2 linked regions of the Caenorhabditis elegans genome follow. The protein of the gene in region 2 interacts with the protein of the main gene of each other region in a pairwise test. Each region holds a gene or a part of one and is shown on either strand. Other genes may lie near its edges. The genes, in order: zfp-1 and dot-1.1.

Region 1 (7,257 bases), on a different chromosome or scaffold from region 2:
CATCATCTTCTTATTCTTCTTTCTTCGTCGGCAAGGAGAAGAAGCAAAGAGAAAACGAGAAGACACTTTTGATGAAAAAAGAGATAATCGGAACGAAATGAAAAAAGATACATAAACTTCCACACCTGAACCAAGATAAATTCAAGAAATTGTGAAAATACTGGGAAGCCCTGTAAACGATAAGACAGACAAAGTAAAATGATAAGAAATCAACTTTGAAAAACGACAAAATCGGGCGATTTCTATTCTTCTCTTCTCTACATCTCTTTCACTAAAGTTATTATTGGCAGCAAGCCAACAAAACCGTGCGCCCAATGTTGTGAATGACTATGCGTATGAGAGTGTATGACCGACCACCAGCCACCCTCCACAGGCTGATTGAATGTTTCTCTCTTTCTCTCATTGTGCACGTCACTCTCTCTTCTTCTAACTGTCTTTCTCTCTTCATATCCTCATTCCTTATCGTCGTCTGATTCTCCAAGGTTTCTTCGTCTCGATTGCGCAAAAGAGACGCAGAGTCTTAAGCATTTTGCTGCTTTGGAGACATACACACATCTATGCGCGTAGAGACACGTACACACACAAAGCCTTCAGTCACAAAAATGAGAAACACACAGCAGCAGTCGCAGCCACAGCATCGCCGTCTCGGGGCCAGGCAGAGGACACCGATCATTCACCAGTCATCGAATCGACACGGCAATAGAAAGAGGGTGGAAACAAGTGAGAGCGCGGCGACACGACAAGGATGCCTAAGGCATCATTTGATCGGAAGAGTGATCAGACATGCAGACAAACATCGAAGAGTCCTCCGATCGGATGATTGCAACGGGAAAAACGAAGGGAGTGCAATCAACAGAGGCGACAGGGGTAACAAGTGAAGGATAGGAAGCGAGTAAAACCACTACCAGCACTCCGAAAAAACGAAAACTTGTGTGTGTGTGTGTGCCTGTGCGGAGGAGGAGGTGGAGAGAGAAAACGAATCGAATCGGCGACGATCCTGCGAAGGACATCAACGACGACGCGACGACAATGGCCACCGCCGGTCGACCCAGCGCCTGGGCGCCCACTTCTCCTCCTTTGCCTGCATTTGATCAGTACGATACAAAAATGTCTACCGGGTTGAGAGGTGCGCGGAAGTAAGACAACAATGAAGGATCCCATGATTGATAGACTTAGAAGTTGAAGATATTCGGAGAAGTGTAGAGACCAGCTAAAGGGAGACTTAGATATTGAAAAGAGACGGAACAAAACATTGCTCAGTGTTTTGGAAAAGTTTGTGCTGAATTTTGAAAAAAAAAACAAAAATTTGCAGCGTCCTCATTAGTAAAAAGAACTAATAAAGATTATTAGACTTTTTCAAAAAAAACTAAAGGGTTTTATGATATTTGTTACCGTTTAATTTAAATTAGGTGAATTAGAATAACATCAAAAATTTGACAACCCCCGAGAACAATCAAGACATTCAACTTAGTTGGAAACAGGCGAAGATCGTCTTAAGGTGAGGCAGGCAGGCGGTGAGGCCTATATGATAGGCCTACTTTCAAGATCAAAAGTTTAATTTAGATTTAGAAATAATTCTGTGAATGTACCAAAATGTAAAACAAAAATGTTAAATGACAAAGTCTAGAAAAAAAAAAAAAAGAACATAGAACTACTTCAGGGAGACGGAAGAGAAAATGAGTGAATGTCTCTCTTTGGCGACAAAAAAACTCCATTGACGGAAGACGATGAGAAAGGTGACATCAAACACAACGAGAAGAGGAAAGTAGGTGAGAGAGTGAGTAGAGACGTAGAGAGTTAAGCAAAAACCGTAACAAGTGAGAAAGTGGGGAGATGCAAGGATGATGTAGCAGGAAAATGTAGAGTATGACGTGGCGACGACTATATTCAAATCTATCGAGTATTCGTCGAAGAAGAACCAAATGAAGCACAAGAGAATGATGTTGCCTCACTATGTGCGTGTGTATGTATGTGTGCGTACGGACGGAGAAAACGAAAAAGCAGGACAAAGCGAGGAATACGACGATGACGATAAAGAGGAAAATAAGAAGCGCAGACGAAACAACGGCCGCCGGGGGCCACCCGAGAAAAAGAAGTCCAGAAGGGGCGGCGAAGAGCAGACGCAGAGAATCATCTAAGCTTATGAAATTGAGAGAGAGAGAGACACTCTATGCACGTCTCTTTCTCTTCCAAACTCGCTTGGCCCGACAGCAATTTGTTCCTTTTTGTGTCTATGTCTCTCCGAGTTCTTCGTCTATCTCTCTCAGTGCCCCCCCCCCCCCCGAGCACTATTTGTCGTTGTCACACTCAGTCAGCCATCCATCCAGCCAGCCGTTGGCCCAACCCATTTCATTTCGTCTAAACGTCTGTACTCTCTTCTCTCGTCTATTCCATCTTCTCAAGTGTGTTGTGTTGAATGGATGGTGTGTGTATGTGTATGTGGAAGCACGCGGACCTCCTTCGACAATGTCTCCCTCTCTCTCTCAACCTCTCTTTCGGTTTCTTTTTCTCAGGATAAAGAGATTTTAGACGCAGATATGAAAACAGGACGGAGGACGTCTCTTTCTCCATCTCTATCTCTTTCACTCTAAGAGTGAAGCGCAATGGCTGTGTTGCTATTCCAGGGTCCCAATGCTGTGACTCAGAAATAGAGTATCCTGAGAAGAGATGCAGAGAAGAAGCGGGCACACACGATTGTATTCATATTTTTACTTCTCTGAATCTCTAATACTCCGTACAATCTCTAGTTTTTCAAGAGACAGGTGTCTATCCACCTGGTCTATCAAGCATCGGACCTTCACAGCACCAGTATGACTAGGGATTAAATATTTGAAATTGATGGGTACTGTAGTTCTATTTTTATTTTCACTTCTATGAAAAACCAAGTGATAATCTGGCCTGATTTTCTTAAAATATTAAGAAATCGATTTTAATACTTTTTTCTCAATTTTTAGCGCATAAATCTTCAATAAACATACCGCTTTCTTCAAATGATTTTCACAATAACCACAATACTTGACATTCCGACTTATTGCCCCTTCTTCACATAAAAGTCCTTTCCGCTGAGCACAGGTTACGTGAAAGCTCCTCTGAAAATTTCGTTTAAATTACAAGAAATTTAAAGAAAAATAAAAATACCTTGCACGTCGACTTGTTACACGACATACATGCACCTTTTTTCGCATCATTTGGACGTTCTTCATTGCAGATGTAGCACAGTTTATTGAATCTATAAAATATATAAATTGATCGAGATAGTAATAAAACTTCAAGATTTTTTCAAAGAAAGAGTTTAAAATGTTTAGATTTTTTGTTGTTGTTTTTTTTTTGAAAGTCGAAAAATCGAAAAACTGGAAAAAAAATTTCGGTTCAGAAATGTACCGGAAATTTTTAAAATTTGAGATTTTCCAGAGAGTCAAAAAATCGAAAGTCGAAAACTCAAAAAATATTCACCCTTGATCAGACACATTTTTCATATTGAATTACCCATATTCTTGAGAAAAACTTACTTATCAGTTGGTACATCATTTAATATGACTGGTTCCATACTATGTACGTTCCCAAATCGCACTTCTGGAATGTAAAGTGCACAAATTACATGAGCCCATCCGTTTCGATCAGTTTTTTTCAATGCTCCATAGTCAAACGGACACAATTGACAACAAAATGTTGCCTCATTTATACTGCCGGGCATCATAGCTGATGCTTTCGTACATTTTGCACAAAACCATTCGCCTTCGGGTACTTCTTGAATTCCATAACATCCTGAAATGATAAAAATTCGGTGGGGCCTAATCGGAAAATTTGGTTTTTTGAGAGAAAATCGAAAAAAAAAAATCAAATTCATCTAATAAGATGGAAAAAAGCAAAACTTCAAACAATGCTTGGAAACGTTGGATTTTTTTTCGAAATATCGGGAAAAATACTAAAATTTTTCAATTTCTGTGAACTTCTACTCACCCTGATGTACTGCAACTTCACAATTCTCTCCATCACAATAGATCAATGGATTGTCTGTCCAACCATTCTCATCTGCACAAACGCAGCATCCACCTACCATCTCCTTCATTTTTCAGCAATTTCGGGGGACTCTGTAAAAATAATTATCCATTTGAGAATACAATTCACAAATTTTCCACAAAAATTCGAAAAAACTTACGATAATTTTTTTTGGGTTACTGTAGCTGGTCAAGAGGTCAGGCGTGGCTCATTTGTATGGTGATGTGCTGTAAAAATTCGGTAAAAATTACGCAGAAAAGGGGAGATTAGAGGTATATTGCCGTAAATTATTGATTTATTATGGCCGAGCGACAAATAAAGAAACAGAACAAATAGAAATAACCTAATTTCGGAGAAAAAAGAACGTTTAACAATTATCTATAATTGAATGCGTATCAAAAATAGTATTAAAGTTTCATAGAGATATTTAAATATTAGATTCGGAAAACAAAATAAATTGAAGAATGTTTTGCTTTATAAAATACACTAAAAATCCATTTGAAAATATCAAATATCAAATTACGAAACTCTTCAGAAATTCATTGAAAAATCTTTTATGGCCATTCAAAATTTTGCATAAAGGCTAATTCTTCAAAATTTAGAATTTTAGGTAAAACTGCTATAAAAAAGTTTGAGGAATTATTGAAAAGTTTCGTTATGAATTTCGGACTTTTCGGGCCAATTTGAGTGAACAAATTTTTCATTGAAAATTTAACGCCGAGCATTAGATATTTTTCTCTCAATTTTTGAAATAAAAGAAAATGGAACTGTACAAAATTTCGTCACAAAAGACAAACGGCAGCAGTCAATCAATACGACGAATAGAGGTCATTCAAAGACAAAAAATTTTTGCAGCGTCTCTCTTTTCTCTCTCCTTCTTATTATCGGGGAGCGGCCATCGATTCGATTTTCGATTCAGTCAAGTCAAAAAAGTTATGGGCGTGAATGAATGAATATACATTTAATAGTGATAATCAAATTGAGAGAACGACAGAGAATTACAGATTGTGTATGGAAGAAAAGGAAGAAGAAGAAATACACTGATAACGACGACATCGTCAGTGTCTTTCTCTCTCTCTCTCTATCTCTCTCTCGTCACCAAACCACCATCACAATCTTCCCGATTTGAAGTCTTTGACAATGAGAGAGTATTAGACACAGACAACTAGTAGCCTACAGTAGGAGAGACCGACATCACGTTCTCGTTTGGAAGAGAGGGAGAAGCAATCGAGAAGAAGAAGAAAAAGGAGGTGAAGATAGACACATACAACTTGGCATCGTGCCAAGCATGCATGAATTCTCACAGGGGCGCAGCGACGTCGGCTCTTCTATGTCACATGCACACAAGGAGCACATACATACAAACAAGAAGGGGAAGCTTTGCTCCTTTTCTCTCTAACTTTCTGCGTTCCAGTGCTTTATTTCATATAGCCGTATGTTTTAATAAAATTAGTTGAAAAGAAAATAATATACGGATCGGAAAATATAAAAATTTAAATGAAAAGAGTCATTTGGATGCTTAAAAAATCGTCCAAGGGCGAAATAAAGTTAATAAACTTTTATATTTTTCTCTAAACCTCGCCTAACATTTTCTACCACATAACCTTATAAAAATTAACATTGTATTGTCATTGAAAAATTAAATATTGAAAATTAACGGTCAAGGTGATAAATATAAATGGAAAAGTAATCAGTATCATCATAGACACAGATGTGATCGGATATACTTCGGGTATCGAGAAAAGAAAATTTACGATGGGGTACTTGCATAACACAAGAAAATCTCTACAGAGGGGTCACGAAGGATTACGATAGTCAAGAAATCATTTTATTGATTTTTTAAAACCACTTGGGGAACAGTTATAAATTTAATTTAACTAATGGTTATTGTGTGAAATAAAAATTTCTACAGAAAATTAACATCTTTAACAAAAAGTTTTTAAAATTAAAAAAAAAAATTTAAGAAGCAAGAGAATTTATTAATAGAACTTCACTGGTTTTTAAACATTTTTCAAGGCTAAAAATTCTTTTTTGATGAATCAAAAATAAATAAATAAATTTTATCGAGGATTTGTTTTCTAAATTTGACTATAAAAATTAATAATGAAAAACCATAGAAATTATATTAATTTTCCGACAATTTCCTCACTGAAGATATCTAAAAGGTGTTCATAATGACAATAAGTGTCAGAGACCAGAAAAAATTGGGTCGTCAGACTGACGATAGTAGCCGAAAGGAACAGAAAATCGGCACAAATGTCTCGGACAGCGACAACACGGTTTGTCTTTTTCTTTGTGGGGCGACAAGGCGCTGAGCACCTGACACTTGACCCATCACATATCGATCGGATTTAGACCGAATAAAGCCTCGAACAACATCGACAAAACGAGAAATGAGAATGACGACGACGTCCGTGGAAGGAAAAAAGTGGAAAAACAGAAGGAAAAACAAGACTTGACTGGGAAAAGCGAGAAGTAGATGGAGAGGCGAAAAACAAGTGTAACTTTTGATTGAGTGTGTCCCAGCTGTGGTTGAGAGTATGGATAGATGCAGACTGACTGCTGAATGCATACATACACGCGACGAGGCAAAAAGAACAGAACAGAGAGGAGAAGAGGAGGACGAGGACGAAGACGGGATGCAGCAGACCCTAGTGGGGGTCTCTCTACTACCATAGCTTCTCTATGTCTCTCATGCGAACCCCTCTTCGCGTTTCTCTATTTCTCTAACACCTCTTCAGGCTGTTCTATTTCTCTTTTGTCGTCGGGTCGCACTCGCGTATGTCCGATGTGACCGGCTATTCAACTGGCGAGGGATACGGAGACGTAGATTACTTTCGCGTCTGATCCCTCCGACTATCTATCCATCTCCCTCCCACTTCCAACACACAGCCACACACACCTCAAAAGAATCCGTCTTTCCCTCTTGGGGTCGTCTTTTCTTCATCGATTGGACATAGTAAGAGTGTTAGACTTAGAATGTAGAGGAAACTCGCGGTGTTCGATGAGCAAAAGCAGTGGGAGCAGATCCTGCTCACTTTCTCACCAACATCGTCTCTGAGTGTTGTTCATCTGGGGACCAGCGTTTCCTTTTTGAGGGTCTTTCAGTTGAAACATATTGTATTCAGTAATATTTTGAATATTCGTTTCGTTATGTGCTCTCTTAATTCGAATTAAACTTTCAGAAAATCTATTCTATTGTAAAAATGAAAAGCAGATAATTAATAAGAAATATTTCCTTTCGATTCTCTCTGATTC
Region 2 (7,290 bases):
CGGCGAAAAATGCTCGGAGCAGTTGAGGCGGATGCTGAATTTTTTCGAATTTTTTTTGGTGAATATTTAATTAGTTAAAGGTGAAGTGCGCCCAAAATTTTCCTGATTTTATATGATTTTTTTTTTGAAAATTGAAAAAATCGCAGTTTTCCCAAAAAATTCCTATTAGAATTTTCGCGAATTGGATTCTTTCGGTGGAGCGCGCTTGCATTATTTTTCTCATTTTTCTCATTTTTTTTTCATTATTTGTGCATTCTCATTGGAAAAAGAGAGAAAAATGCAAATTGTTCATTAAAAAAATCACTGAAAATGGGTACAGAGCCGAAAATTAGCCTATTTCACAGTTTTACGCAGTTTCAGTGATTTTTTAATGAAAAATTCACATTTATCTTGCATTTTTCTCTCTTTTTTCAATGAAAATACACAGATAATGAAGAAAATCAGTGAAAAATTGAGAAAAAAAAATAATGCAAGCGCGCTCCACCGAACGAATCCAATTGGCGGAAAACTGAGATTTTTGCAATTTTCAAAAAAAAATCATATAAAATTTAGAAAAATTTTTTTATCATGATATATATATGATTAAAAAATGCAAAAAAATTTTCTAGATTTTATATGATTTTTTTTTGAAAATTGCAAAAATCTCAGTTCGAATTTCCGCCAATTGGATTTGTTCGGTGGAGCGCACTTGCATTATTTTTATTAATTAACTTTATTTATTCTCGTTATTTGACCGATTTTCTTCATTTTCTATGTTTTTTCCTCGGAAAATGGAAGAAATGAACAAGACAAATGCAAAATGTTTGTTAAAAAGTAATTGAAAATGAGTAAAACTGTGAAATATACTAGTTTCAGGCTTGTCGTCGTCGGATCGCATATTTTCAGAGTTTTATGCATTTTCAGTTACTTTTTAATAAAAATTTTGCATTTTTCTTGTTTATTTCTTTCATTTTCCGAGGAACAAACATAGAAAATGAAGAAAATCGGTGAAATAACGAGAATAAATAAAATAAATAAATAAAAATAATGCAAGTGCGCTCCACCGAACGAATCCAATTGGCGGAAATTCAAAGCGGAATTAGGGGGAAAACTGAGATTTTTTCAATTTTCAAAAAATCATATAAAATCTAGAAAATTTTTTTGAATTTTTTTATCATGATATTCGGTCCTTGTGACCTCATAGGAATGTTTCAAAGCAATTTCTCCGCTGGCGCTACTCCAGAAAACATAAATTTATTACTATCTCTGAAGAGACACCCCGTCCGAGAGTGGAATTGGATTTGCATCAAAGAAGCTGGTTTCACACTCGTATCCAATGATTTCCACGTCGCCAACTGTAAAATCTGGGGGTTTTTCAGCATAAAAACAGCATTTTCAACCTACCCATTCCTTTTCTCAATTTTTCCAAAGTGAGAAATGACGTCATAAGTGGTCCACCTTCATTCACATTTTCTTTATCCTCAAAACTATCTTCCATTGGCTCAATTTTCTTTTTGAAAATCATCTTTTTCTCCGCTTTTCCTGCTCCTGATCCTGTTCCCTTGGATGGAAAATCAACGACAAGAACATCTTCAGAGCTCAGAGAAAGCTGGGAAACGCTCGAATGATTCATCACGAAGGGAATCGACGTGAGCGGGAGCACGCGGACACGGTACTTGTCGAGCTGAAAAATTTAGATTTTGAAATTTTAAAATTTGAGTTAAAGGGGGAGTAGAGTTTGTGGGTATTTTACTCAAATAGACTAAAACTGGACCAAAACCACCGAATTTCATAATGAGACTTCACAAAAAATTTCCAAAACTTTTTTATGGCGGGTTAATAAAATTTCGAAAAAATAAAGCCAAATTTTGCTAAAATCTGAAATTTCGCACACTTTTCTTTGTCACAACCGCTGAATTTTAATTTTTCTAAAGTTATCACCCTTTAATCCTTATTTTGGTAATTTATCTCGCGAAAATTCGTTGATTGAGACAACTTTTAAGCCGATAGGCTTAAAAGTTGAGTAGGCATCCAATTTTGATCATTTTTGGATGCCTATCGGCCTAAAAGTTTTCTCAATCAACGAATTTCCGCGACATAAATTACCAAAAGAAGAATTAAAGGGTGATAATTTCAGAAAAACTAAAATCAAGCGGCTGTGAGACAAAGAAAAGTATGCGAAATTTCGGATTTTAGCAAAATTTGGCTCTTTTTTCGAAATTTTGGCCCGCCATAAAAATGTTTTGGAAATTTTTTGTGAAGTCTCGTTATGAAATTCGGTGGTTTTGGACCAGTTTTAGTCTATTTAAGCAAAATACCCACAAACCCCACTCCCCCTTCAAACGAAGAATTCTAGAATTTTGGGGGAAAATTACCAGGAGAACCGGTGCCGGGGCGTCGTCCTCTTCGCCTTTTGCGGCCATTTTTTCATTATATTGCTTGAGCTGCTCGATGGTGAGTGGCATTTTCTGGGAAATGAAATTTTGAAAAAAAAAAGAAGAGAATTTTCTGAAAAAACGTGAAAAAAAACATTTTTTCACTGATTTTCTTCATTATTTGTGTATTTTCATCGGCAAAAAGAGAGAAAAATGCGAGATAAATGTGAATTTTTCATTGAAAAATCACTGAAAATGGGTAAAACTGTAATATTATGAGTTCCGACGACAACAAGCCGGAAATTAGCTATTTTCAGTGATTTTTTAATGAAAAATTCACATTTATCTTGCATTTTTCTCTCTTTTTGCGATGAAAATACACAAATAATGAAGAAAATCAGTGAAATAAGGAGAAAAATAAAATAAATTAATAACAATTTAATTTCCGGCTTGTTGTCGTCGGAACTCATAATTTTACAGTTTTATCCGTTTTTAGTGATTTTTTAATGAAAAATTTACATTTATCTTGCATTTTTCTCTTTTTTTCCGAATAAAAAAACCCAAAAAATTAAGAAAATCTGTGAAAAAATGAGAAAAATAAAGTAAATTGTTTTGTTTTCGCGCCACTTAAGTGCACTTCCTGTGCAAACACTTCCACGTACTTTTGCGTACTCTGCAAGCGCGCCCCACTGCACTCCTTATCGACCCACCAATTTTTCCAATAAAAAAGACTTTCTGATTGGATTTTTTCTCAATTTTTGTTTTAAAATCAAAGAAATTAATGAAAATTAATTAATAACACATTATAATTTTTAAAAAATCCATTTTTCAGCAGGATGTCGGAGGCAGACGCCGGCGCGAGGGATGGTGAGAAAATTAAGATAAAAAATTCAAAAAAATCAAAGAAAAATTGCAGAATCACCATCAAGGACAGCGGAAGAGCCGGCTGCTGCAATGAGAATCAAAGAAGAACGGAGAAGTTCTTCGGTAGACGTAGTCGACGTAGGAAACGGCGAATTATTAGTGCTTCACTCGATTTTTTATCAAGGAAAGACGCTTCGTCTGCCGGGTAATAGAGCTCACATGTATCCCGTTGTCTTTCAAATGATTAAAGGGTGAGAAAAAATCGATTTATAAATATATATATATATATATAATTAATTTCTGATCATTTTTCCATTTTCAGCGTGTGCTCCCTAGTTAAACAATTGGTGGTCGCTTTCCCGAAGGGCTGGGACCAAAATACTCCGTCAATTAGTGAAATTGCGGCTCTGACGAAGAGTTTTAATCGTGTCGCCAAGCCATTTGCTTCGAATGTGAGCTTTTTTGGCGTTTATAAAATCCAAAAAAGGCGGAAAAAATAACTTTTTTTTGGCGTTTAAAAATCCAAAAAAACCGGAAAAAATAGCTTTTTTTTGGCGTTTATAAAATCCAAAAAAGGCGGAAAAAATCGAATAAAAATGAAAAATTCGTGTTTTTTCTTCCTTTTCTTGGATTTTTTTAAACCAAAATCCGCAAAATTTGCAAAAATTAATTAATTAACTATTTAATTTCAGTGGAGCGGGTCGTACAACACAGATACGCTGAAAGAGTGGGGAGAGCCAAATTGCTCGGCAGAAGTGGCAAAAGCCATCACAACGTACGCCTACGAGTGTGCAGTTCCACGGCCAGCAGATCTCAATCAACATTACAAAAGTTTCACGTCCGAGGTGAGGCGTTTTCCTGGAAAATTCATATTTTATGGAAAAAAGCTGATAGTTTCGGGATTTTTATTCAAAAATCGGTTTTTCCTTAGAAATAAGCCTGAAAATTTATATTTTCTAAAAGCCAAATAATTTAGGCATTTTAACTTAAAAATTCATCAAAAATCCTATTTTTATCGAAAAAAAGTCAATAATTTCGCTAAAAATCGGCTTGAAAACGATTAGTTTCGGGATTATTACTCAAAAATCAGCCCGAAAATCCATATTTTTATCGAAAAAATCCCATAATTCTGCATAAAATCGGCCTAAACGCGATTAATTTCGAGATTTTGACTCAAAAAATCATGGAAAATCCATATTTTTATCGAAAAAAGCCAGAAATTTCGCGGAAAATCGTCTTTTCAAAGATTTTTTCGCCCAAAAAGACAGAAAAATCTCACTTCACCTTAAAAAATTATATAAATATTTCAATTTTGCAGAAAAAAATTGAAAAGTGCCGAATCAATCTATTTTTTCACATTTTCAGACGCTTTTCCTTCTAAAATTAGCCTAAAAATCGATATTTTAACATTTATTTGAGCTTTTTTTGGCGAAAAAATCAAGAAAAACGATTTTTTTGATTATAAATTACCCAGAAAATCCCTGTTTTTAATGAAAAATTGGCCTGAAAACGATGAAAAATGTCAAAAAACGCCAAAAAAACCTATAAAATCCAATTTATTTATTTTTTGATTAAAAAAAACTAATTTTCCCTATAAATTATCCTGAAAATCCCTATTTTTAATCAAAAATCGGCCTGAAAACGATGAAAAATGTCAAAAAATGCCAAAAAAACATAGAAAATCCAATTTATTTATTTTTGATTAAATAAATTAATTTTCCCTATAAATTACCCAGAAAAACCCTGTTTTTAACCAAAAATCGGCCTGAAAACGATGAAAAATGTCAAAAAACGCCAAAAAAACCTATAAAATCCAATTTATTTATTTTTTGATTAAAAAAAACTAATTTTCCCTATAAATTATCCTGAAAATCCCTATTTTTAATCAAAAATCGGCCTGAAAACGATGAAAAATGTCAAAAAATGCCAAAAAAACATAGAAAATCCAATTCATTTATTTTTTGATTAAATAAATTAATTTTCCCTATAAATTATCCTGAAAATCCCTATTTTTAATCAAAAATCGGCCTGAAAACGATGAAAAATGTCAAAAATCCCATTAATTTTCAGACTTATGGAGAAACAAATCCCGAACAATTGATCAGCATAATCGATGAGCTCAACATTGGACCACAGGACGTTTTCGTTGATTTAGGCAGTGGAATCGGTCAGCTCGTATGCCTGACGGCTGCCTACGCGAAATGCAAAAAATCCGTTGGAATTGAGCTTTCGCAAGTTCCTTCGAATTTTGCACAAGATCTTGCCGGTTATTTTAAAAAGTATGAAATATGCCCTTTTTTTTGCGAAAAAAAGCAATTTGATACTGAAAAATTGGAAAAATCGGGTTTTTTCGGTGTTTTGGCAGAATTTTTAAATTTTTCGTGTTTTTTCAACAATTTTGACATTAAAATTGAATTTACCTGGTAATTTTCTGATTTTAAGCGAAATAATTTAGTAGTTGAAGTAATAACGTTTCAGAGAACGTAGAAAACTGACTTTTTACTCAAAAATCGATTTTGGAAGCCATTTTTGGCCAAAATTGAGCATTTTTTCATAAAATAAAAGAGAAATCCCCTCTATTTCATAAAAAATGCTAATTTTTGACAAAAAATGACTTCAAAAACCGATTTTTGAGTAAAATTCGGTTTTATACGATCTCTGAAACGTTATTTATTTAATTAATTAATTATTTCGCTCAAAATCAGCAAATTAACTGGTAATTTCAATTTTTGTGTTAAAATTGTTTAAAAAACTCGAAAAAAGTTTTAAATTCCCGCCAAAACACAAAAAAAGCCTAATTTATTGCGAAACCTGCGAAAAAATTTAGCAAAAATAGGTTTTTCCAGATTTACGAAGTTTTTAACCGCTTTTTAAAATTTTTACAACAATTTGACACTGAAAAAATTGAAATTACCATGTAATTTTTTGATTTTAACCGAAAAAATAAAAGACTTGGAAAAATAACGTTTCAGAGAGCGTATAAAATTGAATTTTTACTCAAAAATCGATTTTGGAAGCCAATATTTTGTTAAAAACTAGCCCTTTTTTATATAATAAAGGAAAAATGCTAATTTTTGACAAAAAAAATGGCTTCCAAAATCGATTTTTGAGTAAAAAATTCAGTTTTTTACGTTCTCTGAAACGTTATTTAATTAATTAATTAATTATTTTGCCTAAAACCGGAAAATTAACTGGTAATTCCAATATTTGTGTTAAAATTGTTTGAAAAACTCGAAAAAGGTTTGAAATTTCCGTCAAAACACCGGAAAAATGCCTAATTTATTGCGAAAACTGTTAAAATTTAGCAAAAATAAGTGTTTTCCAGATTTACAAAGTTTTTTAACCGCTTTTTAAAGAATATTTGCAACAATTTTTATTCAAAAATTGATTTTGGAAGCCATTTTTTGGCCAAAATTTAGCATTTTTCAAGTTTTCAGTGTCAATTTGTTGAAAAAAACGCTGAATTTTCCAATTTTTCACAAAAAAAAACTGTCAAAATCCAGAAAAAAGTCAGTTTTTTTCCAGATTTATGAGCCATTTTGGAAAAAATCACGGAAAATTCGAGCATATTCAAGGCGATTTTTTGAATCCGAAATTCAAACAACTAATTTGTGAGGAGGCTACCGTCATTTTCATCAACAATTTCGCGTTTGACGCCGCGCTGATGCTCCGAATTAATACTGAGCTGCTCCAGGACTTGAAGCACGGCACTCGAATTGTTACGACGAAAGAGTAGGGATTTTTTATGGGAATTTTCAGTGAAAAAATGGATTTTTTGCAGGCTTGGAACCAATAAAAAGGAGATTACATTCCGCTCAACAAGTGGTATGTTTGGAAATGGAAAATTGAGAAATGCGGAGGAATTTCAGTGAAAAATTGAAGAAAAAACAGAGAAAATCGAAAAATCGGCGAAAAAAACTTCATAAAATGAATAAAAATTCAATTTTTAAAAATAAAGTTTCCTAAAAAAAAACTCGACGCTACTCCAGAAAACAAAAAATCGACGCTACTCCAAAAAAAAATTTTCGATTTTACAATTTTCAGAAAAACCAAAAAATTAGTTAACAAAAAA

Evidence for each region.
Region 1: the proteins of dot-1.1 (region 2) and zfp-1 interact in binary tests that used the Caenorhabditis elegans proteins (3 or more experiments, as listed by UniProt).

The regions. Positions count from the first base shown.
Region 1 is NC_003281.10:8,795,367-8,802,623, reverse strand, and holds the start of zfp-1 (Zinc finger protein zfp-1), read right to left. Parts: upstream 4,227-7,257; 5' UTR 4,160-4,226; intron 4,092-4,159; 5' UTR 4,070-4,091; coding exon 3,961-4,069; intron 3,766-3,960; coding exon 3,510-3,765; intron 3,230-3,509; coding exon 3,139-3,229; intron 3,092-3,138; exon of another isoform or gene 3,090-3,091; coding exon 2,979-3,089; intron 2,139-2,978; coding exon of another isoform or gene 1,923-2,138; intron 1-1,922. Other genes in the region: F54F2.6 (uncharacterized protein), read left to right, coding at 1,923-2,138. UniProt on the Caenorhabditis elegans protein: Recruits the histone methyltransferase dot-1.1 to chromatin to methylate 'Lys-79' of histone H3 and activate transcription. Recognizes and binds histone H3 methylated at 'Lys-4' (H3K4me) at the promoters of target genes.
Region 2 is NC_003279.8:2,397,389-2,404,678, reverse strand, and holds the start of dot-1.1 (Histone-lysine N-methyltransferase, H3 lysine-79 specific), read left to right. Parts: upstream 1-3,186; 5' UTR 3,187-3,190; coding exon 3,191-3,221; intron 3,222-3,270; coding exon 3,271-3,469; intron 3,470-3,540; coding exon 3,541-3,670; intron 3,671-3,910; coding exon 3,911-4,063; intron 4,064-5,288; coding exon 5,289-5,497; intron 5,498-6,743; coding exon 6,744-6,950; intron 6,951-6,999; coding exon 7,000-7,043; intron 7,044-7,290. Other genes in the region: zwl-1 (Protein zwilch homolog), read right to left, coding at 1-34, 1,241-1,334, 1,384-1,663, 2,355-2,444. UniProt on the Caenorhabditis elegans protein: Histone methyltransferase, which in complex with zfp-1, methylates 'Lys-79' of histone H3 to activate transcription.